Xenopus tropicalis: one gene and its partners. The protein of the gene in region 3 binds, or shares a complex with, the protein of the main gene of each other region. Links are inferred from orthologs where the notes say so. Each region holds a gene or a part of one and is shown on either strand. Other genes may lie near its edges.

Evidence for each region. The genes of interacting proteins can lie anywhere in the genome.
Region 1: cir1 (region 3) and hdac3 share a complex: the UniProt entries of both Homo sapiens proteins name them as parts of the notch corepressor complex. The link is inferred for Xenopus tropicalis from reciprocal best matches to the Homo sapiens genes CIRSR and HDAC3.
Region 2: cir1 (region 3) and sap30 share a complex: the UniProt entries of both Homo sapiens proteins name them as parts of the histone deacetylase complex. The link is inferred for Xenopus tropicalis from reciprocal best matches to the Homo sapiens genes CIRSR and SAP30.

What each region holds. Positions count from the first base shown.
Region 1 is NC_030679.2:27,758,445-27,762,024, forward strand, and holds part of hdac3 (histone deacetylase 3), read right to left. Parts: coding exon 3,562-3,580; intron 2,721-3,561; coding exon 2,587-2,720; intron 1,381-2,586; coding exon 1,300-1,380; intron 1-1,299. UniProt on the Homo sapiens protein: Histone deacetylase that catalyzes the deacetylation of lysine residues on the N-terminal part of the core histones (H2A, H2B, H3 and H4), and some other non-histone substrates.
Region 2 is NC_030677.2:48,755,263-48,758,842, reverse strand, and holds part of sap30 (histone deacetylase complex subunit SAP30), read left to right. Parts: intron 1-2,373; coding exon 2,374-2,499; intron 2,500-3,580. UniProt on the Homo sapiens protein: Involved in the functional recruitment of the Sin3-histone deacetylase complex (HDAC) to a specific subset of N-CoR corepressor complexes. Capable of transcription repression by N-CoR.
Region 3 is NC_030685.2:66,439,998-66,443,178, forward strand, and holds the end of cir1 (corepressor interacting with RBPJ 1), read left to right. Parts: intron 1-2,073; coding exon 2,074-2,383; 3' UTR 2,384-2,625; downstream 2,626-3,181. UniProt on the Homo sapiens protein: May modulate splice site selection during alternative splicing of pre-mRNAs. Regulates transcription and acts as corepressor for RBPJ. Recruits RBPJ to the Sin3-histone deacetylase complex (HDAC). Required for RBPJ-mediated repression of transcription.

The sequences.
Region 1 (3,580 bases), on a different chromosome or scaffold from region 3:
TCAATAACTTTATCCCTGACCTGTCTGGTGTGTTCTTTGGACTTCATGGTGTTGTTGCTCCCAATATTCTCTTAGACAACCTCTGAGGCCGTCACAGAGCAGCTGTATTTGTACTGACATTAGATTACACACAGGTGCACTCTATTTAGTCATTAGCACTCATCAGGCAATGTCTATGGGCAACTGACTGCACTCAGACCAAAGGGGGCTGAATAATTACGCAAACCCCACTTTGCAGTTATTTATTTGTAAAAAATGTTTGGAATCATGTATGATTTTCATTCCACTTCTCACATGTACACCACTTTGTATTGGTCTTTCACGTGGAATTCCAATAAAATTGATTCATGTTTGTGGCTGTAATGTGAAAAAATGTGGAAAAGTTCAAGGGGGCCGAATACTTTTGCAAGCCACTGTATTTCGTAGATAACACACATTTTTTAGTAACCCTGTAGCCTTTAGCTGTAAAAATCCCCATACAGAACCATTGCAATTCTAAATATTCTAGTTGTCATTAAACCAGTGGAATGACCTAATCACTGAACCCCTCTTGTGACAATGCTTTCAAGGGTCACTAAGCCTTAATTTTCTCCCTGTATTTTTCAAGCAAAAAAAATGTACAGCTGAATGTATAATGTGTTTCCTCCTGCTCCATTTCACCTAAGGTTTCATGAAGGGATACTGGCTTAATTTGCTATTTAAGCCTCTCATAGCACACACTGGCCACAACTTACTGTATCCCAAATCAAACGCCACCCTTTAATGCTATAATCTCCTAATAATAAATCAGCAAAAGACAAAGAATTAAGTTATGGAAGAATTCTCGTAAAGAAGAATTAGTGTAAACTTTCTTAGCGTGATTCTTTGAGCTCTCTTGCTTTCTTTACAGTAACTTTTTAAAATGAATAGCAATAAACAATTGTGATATTAGATATTAGGAGTTTTATACTACTTGGCAGGCTTTCAGCTCAATAGCTTTTTGAAGACCCTGTGTCACTGCTCATTCTCAGTTGAGCCAAACACCTGGTATTAGCAGTCTGCAGAAACTGCAAATATTTCTATATTTTTAGACACCACATATAAAATTAATGTGAATTAATGATTTTAGCCTGCCTTTAAAAGAAAATACTTTTATAATAAGACATTACCATACTATAGGTATGCCCTTGTACCAAGCAGAACCTACTAGAAAAATGTATAGTGAACTTCAGTGTACACTCTGCTTGTGAACCAGGTATAGAACAAAAGATGATTGTGCCACCCAACTTACAGACCTTACTGATGGAAGCTGGAACTTACTTTGATCATCTATGCCATCTCTTAAGGGAACATTCAAACAGTAATATCTTCCACTTTCTGCTCCCACTTCGTACATATCCCCTATAGGATAAAACAGAAGCTGAATAATAAATATAATCAAAGTTTGTGGGGTTAAATTATCGAGTACCTTTCTTAGGCTCATGGCAATAGCTGACCATTTGTTTCTGGTAATGCCTTACAAGGCACCAGTTTGGTTATCAGGTAAATGTGTATGCTTCATGGAGGTGTGTTTTAAGACTCTGTGGGACAAAAGAGTGTCTGACATTGTGGGTTAATGAATTCCACAGGTATGGAGCTGCTCTAGTAAAGGTGAGCATGTGATGAGGTTACTAGAGCATCATTACCGTATATAGTCGAGAATAAGCCGAGGCGGAGCTTTCAGCACATTTTTCATGCTGAAAATCTCGGCTTATACTCGAGTATATACGGTAAGTTTAAGATCATTAGAGGATTGAAGTGGTTGATTTGGGGTGTACCTGGAGATAGGGCTGGAAATGTAAGGTGGAACATTGTTACTGAGGGCTTTGTAGGCGAATGTAAGGAGTAATAATTACATGGTCCTTCCCTACTGTTTTTTTCTTGTGAGGAGCTTCAGCTCCATGGACTTCCTTTCAGAACCAAGTCATTTGCTATCCTAATTAATAACTAACTCACACAATATTTAACCTATTGGACCATGGCTTGACAGTGTTTCATCACTTTAAAGTAAATACACATTATTATAGCTCTCTTTTGCATGCAGAACAGCAATTTACATGTTAGTAATGTCTGAATACAAAAAGGGTGCAAGATTGGCTACAGGAGGAAAAAAAAAAAGGTATACACAAGTGTTTATCCATGTAATCCAAATATATAATTACGTTTATCCATTTTGCACACTCGGCCGTTTCAAAGGCTGTTTATTACTGGTGAGCGACTGCCTACACTAGCAGATAAAGACTATTTTAGTATTACGGTCACATACTGGTGTATCTATTGTGAAGGTAGAAAAATGGCTTAGAAATTTGGACACAAGGGCAAACAGCCAATTATTCTTATTATTCTGACTATAGACCTTTCTTGCCTATTGTCTGGAATATAAAAGACTGGCTGTATATCAAAATGAAACATTTTATAATGCTATTTGGCCACTAGTTGCTAATTTATTATTAGCAAAATGATTTACAATAAGAGTAAGCATTTCAAGACATTTCTCCACCTGTGCTCCAACATTATGGTGTGTGTCCAACTGCCCTCATTTCTACTGTTCCTTTTAACAGTACTCACCTGTACCAGGGAAAAAATAATTCCCATACTTGTGAAATGATACTGTCATAACTCTGTCAGTGAGGTAGAATGCTTCCTGTACTCCATCTCCATGATGAATATCAATATCTACATAAAGAACACGAGGATGATACCTAGGGGTAAACCCACAAAACATTATGTTAACATGAAGTTCATAAAACAGGTAACATCCCTTTTGGGAAGTTATGTGCATCAGACTAAAACACAAGGAGAAAGAAATTAATTAATACTGCACAGTATGTGCATGCATTAACCCCTTTTGGGAAAGCAAGCTTCCTTTTGGGAGCACCCCTTGCAATTTTTCATTGTTTTTTTTTATTGTTTTGGATAAGTACCAGAGATTACAGGCCACACAAATGCACAAATAGTTACTACAGCTAAAAAATTTTGAAAAGTGAATCAAATGTATTTTTCCAAAACTACATGTTACTCTAATATTAGAAGCTGTTATTAGGTTCATAACTGCAGCATCCCAGAGAATGGGCAAGCATTCGCAGACTAGGCATTGTAAAACCAATGTAGAATGTATTATAGGATTATAAAATAAGACAAATTATCATAGGACTGCATCTACATCAGGGGTTCCCAAACGTTTTTACCTGTGAACAACTTTTAAATGTAAAAAAAGTTGGGGAGCAATGCAAGCATGAAAAAAGGTCCTAAAGATTGACCAGTAAGGGCTGTGATTGGTTATTTGGTAACTCAGTGTAGACTGGCAGCCTACAGGGGCCTCTGTTTGGCAGTACACATGGTTTCTATGCCTCCAATTCAGAAATTAAAAAATAAGCCCCTGCTTTGAGGTCCTTGGTAACAACATCCAATAGGTTGGTGAGCAACATGTTGCTTGCGAGCCACAGGTGGCGGATCACTGATCTACATGATGACAGCATACCTATTTATGGAAGTTTCTTCTTTTAGGAGAAAGCCATTTTAATTCAGATTTATGGTACTTACTTAAGTAGCTCAAGAATGC
Region 2 (3,580 bases), on a different chromosome or scaffold from region 3:
CCGTATAAAAATGGCGTTAAAATGGCGTCATTGTTTTACGCGTTTTTTCTTCCACCAGAACTTATGGAAAATAACTGCGTAATATCCGCCGTTAAGATGGCGATCTTTTCCACTTATTTTACACAGCTTTTTACTGTTAGTTTTACACAGCATAATAAATACACCCCTATATGTTTTGGGCAGAGCCCTTTCTCAAGTGTACACTTTTTCAAGTGAAACTTGAGAAAGGGCTCTGCCCGAGTTTGTTAATACTGCTTGGAGCTCTTTGATTAAATTGTATCAATTGGTATAAGCATTTCACAGTGGAATGCACAACCATAGAGTTTCATCGCAGGCAAGGGGGAGTGAGAGAGATGAGCAGAATGGGAGGATTTAGGGGAACTCAGCTTGTGTATGTGTGGTGAGGTAATGCTTTGAATCTATTCATTTGCTGCACTGAATTTATTGGCATACCTGGGGTAAGTGTAGTGCTTGATTCATGATCCATGTCTACCGTGATATTAATGTCTTGTTCAAGGTTAATCTGATCATTGTCCATTTTCTGACCAAGCTGAATCCAAAGCAAAAATTAAATGACTTTAGGTTACATGATCAAGGAAATATATTTAATTATTCTGATTTTCATACACACATTCCATCATGAACCAAGGATTTGGAATGGGCAACTGTCAAACCATAAAAGACTGAGTTTTTTGCAGGAGTAAAATAATATTATGTTGAGGTTGACATATTTAATTATATAGGTTATTACAAAAGGCACTGCAATAGAATACACCAAGGATTACCACATCAGCATCCCATTATACCTCATACTGTCATAAGTGGTTACACAGTTGTGTAATCATCTTTGGTGTATTTAGCATTGTGTGAAATACTAGATTAAAAAGAGAAATGTTTTGGTTTTTTTTAACAGGAGTGTTGATTGTCTTAATTGTCACCACTTTGCATAGCTTTCTACACCCTTTATATGTCCGAATTTTTTTTTACCATGTGATTTGTCCCATTGACTTGATTGGGATACTCCAGCTCCGAGGTGGTGTAATAGTGAAATATATTGGCCTCAGTCTGGAGTAAAATCACTGACATGTTGATTATAAAGATTTAATTTATATACCATTTGATATATCTAATACAGCATATTGTATATACATGACTATAGCAATAAGAGTTTGCCTCTAAGGATACATGCTGGTAAAAACACACACCAATATTCCCCATGTCTGCGAATGTATGCTGTGATATCAATGGTATCAGAGGCATCAGGCAAGATTTTTTTTTTTTAAATAGGTTGATCTGAGCAAAGTCTGACAGTTCACCTTGTATTCTTAAGGTGACCATACACAGGCTATAAAAACTGCTGATGTCTGATTTTGGGGCCCCCAGATGAGCCTCCCCAACCGATAGCTGTCCAAAAATCGGGCATGTTTAAATATCCAGTAGTGATGAGGAGTGCATCACCACATCAATTCAGTCCTCATCTCGATGGCCTGTATCCCGTCAATTCGATGCGACGGGCCAAACAATCAAATCAATCTGATGTCGTCCACCTCAAGATGGACATATCGGTGACAGATAAGCTCATTTGACGACCTCGGCAAACAAGCAGATCTTCAAATATAAAGCCACTTTTAGTCCATTCTCCTACTGGAGTTGTATAATCTACTGTATATACCCACTAGTAAACAATAATTTCACACTCAAGAGACCTGAGATTCAAAATAGGCTCTAGTATTTTTAAGTGCACAAATTCACAAACTGTCCCACACAGGCCTAGTATAAAACACCTTTATTTATAAAACGCCTTTATAAATGGGAATGGTTAGTCCTGTTCTGTTATCTATCATCCGGAGGACCTGCTTTCCTAAGGACTTCTATTCAAAAAACAAAACTTTTGGGGGGACAACTGCCATAACCTCAGACATGACTCTTTGCATCCTGAGATGAGTTGGTGTCTACTTTTTGTTGGGCAGCAACCTGATTCCTGCAGCATTTAAAGGGAGTGTTAGATTCTGGCAGATGTTCTTGTAGACACTATCAACCAAGTATTTTAGTGACAGGTTGGTGCAATCTGCACATCCTATTTTCAAAATATAGTTGAATTCCAAAAAATTCAGGGATGGCTGGTGGGTTCTGTAACGCACAAAACTACTAATAATGCCACCGTCAGTGAGAAAGCATATGTATCTCAATGCATTATGGGAGTCCCATAAAATTGTGTGCCCTGTAGTAGATGATCTGCTTGTCTTCCACTTCCGCCATTTCTAGTATTTACTAAGCTTTACCAGATAGTAGGAAAAGTCTGTGCTTGTTCTGTTTATGATCATTTTCTCTCTAGGATATATCTGCAAACATTTGTTTCTGTCCTTTATTTAGGCAAGGCACCTTTATATTTGTGACTTTCACAAGAACTTAATTCAGAGTGTCAGAAATAGAAGGAAAAGGAAAGGCAGTGATGATGATGGAGGTGATTCCCCTGTTCATGACGCTGATACTCCTGAGGTATTTATGTTTCCCTCCTAGACTGTATATATTGTACATAAACTAAATGTAACTTTTAGCCTTTTTATTTTTTAGAAAGCTATAGAAGCAACTGCATTGTAACATTGCTGTCTCGCATTGCACTGCTATCATTACAAAGCTCCCCCTCTAGCTGTGCAAAGCTTCAATTGTTGAATTGTCAAGACATTATCTAATATGCTAGGGTTTGTTCAGGGGTAACTCTGAGGCCATAATAGTTTGTGAAGTAAGATATTGTGTGTCAGATATTCCCTAGATCAGCTCTGCCCAACATTTCCTGTGTAGTGCGCTAATTATCTGACATAGTAGTTATTTGTAGATTAGATTATATCAAAATGATGATGTACATGGAGCCATTGGTACAAATACCAACTCATGGGCCTCCAAATGGGCACTACTGTTCTGGATGATCAAAAATCTAAGGTAATGAAATGTTGCATTATATTGAAGAGGAAATGTATTTTGGACTGGGTTTCTTTCCTGGCTGGGTTCAGTGATTTTGTAAGAAAGAGCTATTGCTCCACCCTCTCCTTAGCAACCCTATTCTCATTATATAACTGTCAAATGAGTCAACAGCTGAAGGGAGAGACACTGAAACTGTGGGCAGATAAATGTATAAAAATACTGTTCAACATTAAATGAATTCTTCTAATAAGTGTGATATATTTTTATTGACTGTACTTTCTCTTGAAGACAAAATATCTATGTTTACAGATATTGGGTATGAGAGTTGGTTGGCTCACACAGTTAAAGGAATACTGTCATGGGAACATGTTTTTTCAAAACGCACCAGTTAATAGAGCTGGTACAGCAGAATCCTTCACTGAAATCCATTTTCAAAAACACAAATAGATTTTTTTAAATATGACATAGGGCTAAACATATTCTTCATTTCCCAGGGTGCCACAGCCATGTGACCTTTGCTCTGATAAACATCAGTCACACATTACTGCTGAGCTGCAAGTTGGAGTGATATCACCCCCGTCTCAGCAGCCAATCAGCATTAAAATGGGAAGGCAGCAAGATAGCAGCTCCAAGTAGATATCAGAATAGCACTCAACAA
Region 3 (3,181 bases):
TACTGTAGACAGTAACCAATTAGTGTGGGCTGGAGGGGGCAGTTTGGGCCTCTGTTTACTTGAAATACCAGGGACTATTTTTGAATCACAGTCTGGCCTGCTCTCTGCTGGTTTAGTCCTATAATTTGCCAACTGCTTTAATTTGGTTAGGTGCGTTTGTTGCCAATGGAACATGCAATGCAACAATATAGCCCATAGGATAAACAGTCTGTTTGGCATTGCGGAACCAGCTGTAGAATAATGTACATTTTGTTTAAAAGATATCAAGAGATATTTAGGGCGTGTGTGATTTCACAAAAATATGTATAAATATCTCCGCACATAAGACCAAGTCCATGAAAGGCGTCCTTCTTAAATTGTTCTATTTTCAAAAAAACCTAATTCTGTCTTAACAGCATGGTTTGTATTTATATAGCTTGTAATGCATACTGTAATTGAATTGTCCATTGAAGGAAAATATTCCACAATGAGAAGAAAATGAATTATAGGATTTAGATTGTGAGTTGTTGTATAGTTTTCCCCTTTGGATACATTTTTCATCTCCAGCAGGGATGCTAGTATTATGTTAAGTGCAGATACGTGGTTATATTTCACATGGTTTCTAAAGAGAAAAACGGCTATTTCGTACAGCGCCTTACGCAGTTTGTAAATGGAATAATAGCTATGTTTGGCAAGATATATTTTGGGGGGAGGAAATAGCCTAATACCACTAAGGAAGATTTAGATACATGAGGGTTTTTCATTAGCCTCCCCCCCCCCCCCCGCCATATTGAGGCATATTTCTGAAACATTGTCATACATGCTCACTGTTTTATGTTAACATACAGTTATCGCAAGTTAATACAGGTATGGGACCTTTTATCCAGAATGCACAGAATATGGGGTTTTCCAGATAAAGGATTCTCCTGTAATTTGGACATTAACATTAATTAGAAATAGGATTGCTATGCCTCCAATAAGGATTGGGATCAAGTACAAGGTACTGTTTCATTGTTACAGAGAAAATTAAATCAGTTAATTTGATTAAAATGGAGTCAAGAATGACCTTCCTGTAATTTGGAGGTATTATAAATTTGACCAATCCCATACCTGTATATATAGAACTATCTACTGTGTAGTAGATTATTAGGCTGAATAACTGGATTGTATATAACAATATCTATCTGCAAGGTAGGGGGAAGGTGCCAACTCTCACACTTTCACTCTTATATCCTCCTGCACATATTAATGGCATGAGGGAAAGATAACCAAATCTTTGCAATGGCTGGAAACACCAAGATGAGTTTTCTTGTGGATTGGTCAATTACCTGCAGAGGCCTGACAATCTCCATGTGTGTGTCCAGCTTTAGTTACTCTAGTAATGGAATCTTTTGACCATAGATAATTCTTTCTTGACATTGCTTACTCTACCAGATATTATATACGAAACAATACCTTGGCTTTTTAAATGTAAATCTTTCCACTTTCATGGACGGGTAAGCTACCTTGTAACCATGGTTATCTACTTACTTCTGTAATAAAATCATTTTCATAGCCATCTGAACTGTATCGGTTGCAGAAATGGGCAGCTAAATGGAAGACAGTAAAAAATTAAGTGTAGAGAAATGTCGTTGTCTCTCTTCTAAGCAGAGCAAAATCAGAAGACTTTCCCTTTGGCTGTCAGGGCAGTAAAAAGCTAACCAGCAGGTGGCACAGTTGTTTCAGTTTCGCTATATTCGCAGTGTAAAAATTGCAAATATCTTAAATGAAAAGAAATGTAAATTACAATTTTACACAAGTTTTGTTTTGATGGCTGACATCTCCTTTAATTTAAAATAAGGTAAACTATGCTGTGAACAGGACCCTTGGCAACAAAACTGCGGCTATGATTATATAAAGATGAGAGAGTATTGCTTTATCAAAAAATGTATCTGCTTATCTTTACAGTTTTTTCTGTGTGTGGGGGGGGTTATTTTATAATTCAGTGTTCCTATTTAAAAACATGAAACAAATAATATAATCTGCTTCTTGGATAAATTGCTTATTGGGCAATAAGAACTTTTTTTTCCATTTTGCCATTTTTGTCTCAAATAGGAAGCTAGATCGACTTGAAAAGAAGAAAAAGAAGAAAGAAAAGAAACAGAAGAAATCCCAGAAGAAGAAAAGCAAGACTAAGCATAAGAAGCGCAAAAGCAGCAGCTCCTCCAGTGACACATCTAGTAGCAGTGCGAGTGAGTCGGAGAGTGAAGAGGAACAAAGACACAAGAAGAAGGAGACCAAAAAAGAGAAAAATGCTAAGGAAACAGACCAAAGCAGCAGTGACTCTGATGAAAAGCAGAAAACAAGAAAGACCAAAGCCTCGGAGCAATTGTTGAGTGAACGCAGAAGAAATAGCAGGATGTAGTAAGTCCTGACTGTAACTCAGACAGTAGTATCCAGAAACGGACTAAGAAGTCACAGAAAAGCCAAAGGCATTATAGAGCTAGAGCCAACAGTAACTCCAGCAGTGAACAGCCAAGGAACAGGCATAGAAGTAAGAGTAGAAGCAGGAGTAGGAGCATAAATAACTATGATTGTGGGAATAGCAAAGATAAAGAGAGAAACAAGGAAAAGAGGAGCAGGAGCAAAGACAGGCAAAGAGACAGGGGCCAGGATAGGGACAGGAGCCGGGAAGGGTATAGGGGCCAGGACAGGGCCAGAAGCCGGGAAGGGGAAAGGGACAGGAGCCGGGAAGGGAATAGGGGCCAGGACAGGGACAGGAATCGGGAAGGGTATAGGGGCCAGGACAGGGACAGGGACAGGAATAGGGGCCAGAACAGGAGCCAGGAAAGGGACAGGAGCCATCAAGACAGAGATCATAAAAGGAGATAGTATTTTATAAAGGACTCCACACATTGGATGCCCACTAAGAAATCCTTGTACCGTATGCATCTTCCTTGTAATCTTCCTTGGGATTTCAGTGCTGTGTATATACTTTTGTTTGGAATTAAAGAAAATATCCTTGCCCTTTTGTGCCTTACTCCGTGTCACAATGAATGCATTCTGGGCCTATCTTATGTGTGCCGTCTAATGGATGAGGCAGAATTTATAGCTTAAAGGATTCTGGCAATTGTAATGAACAGTAGGTTGTCTTTAATGATCCATACATAGTATAGATTGTGTAAAAGAAGGGCTTCCAGTGATACGAGGCCCCTGGCTTCAT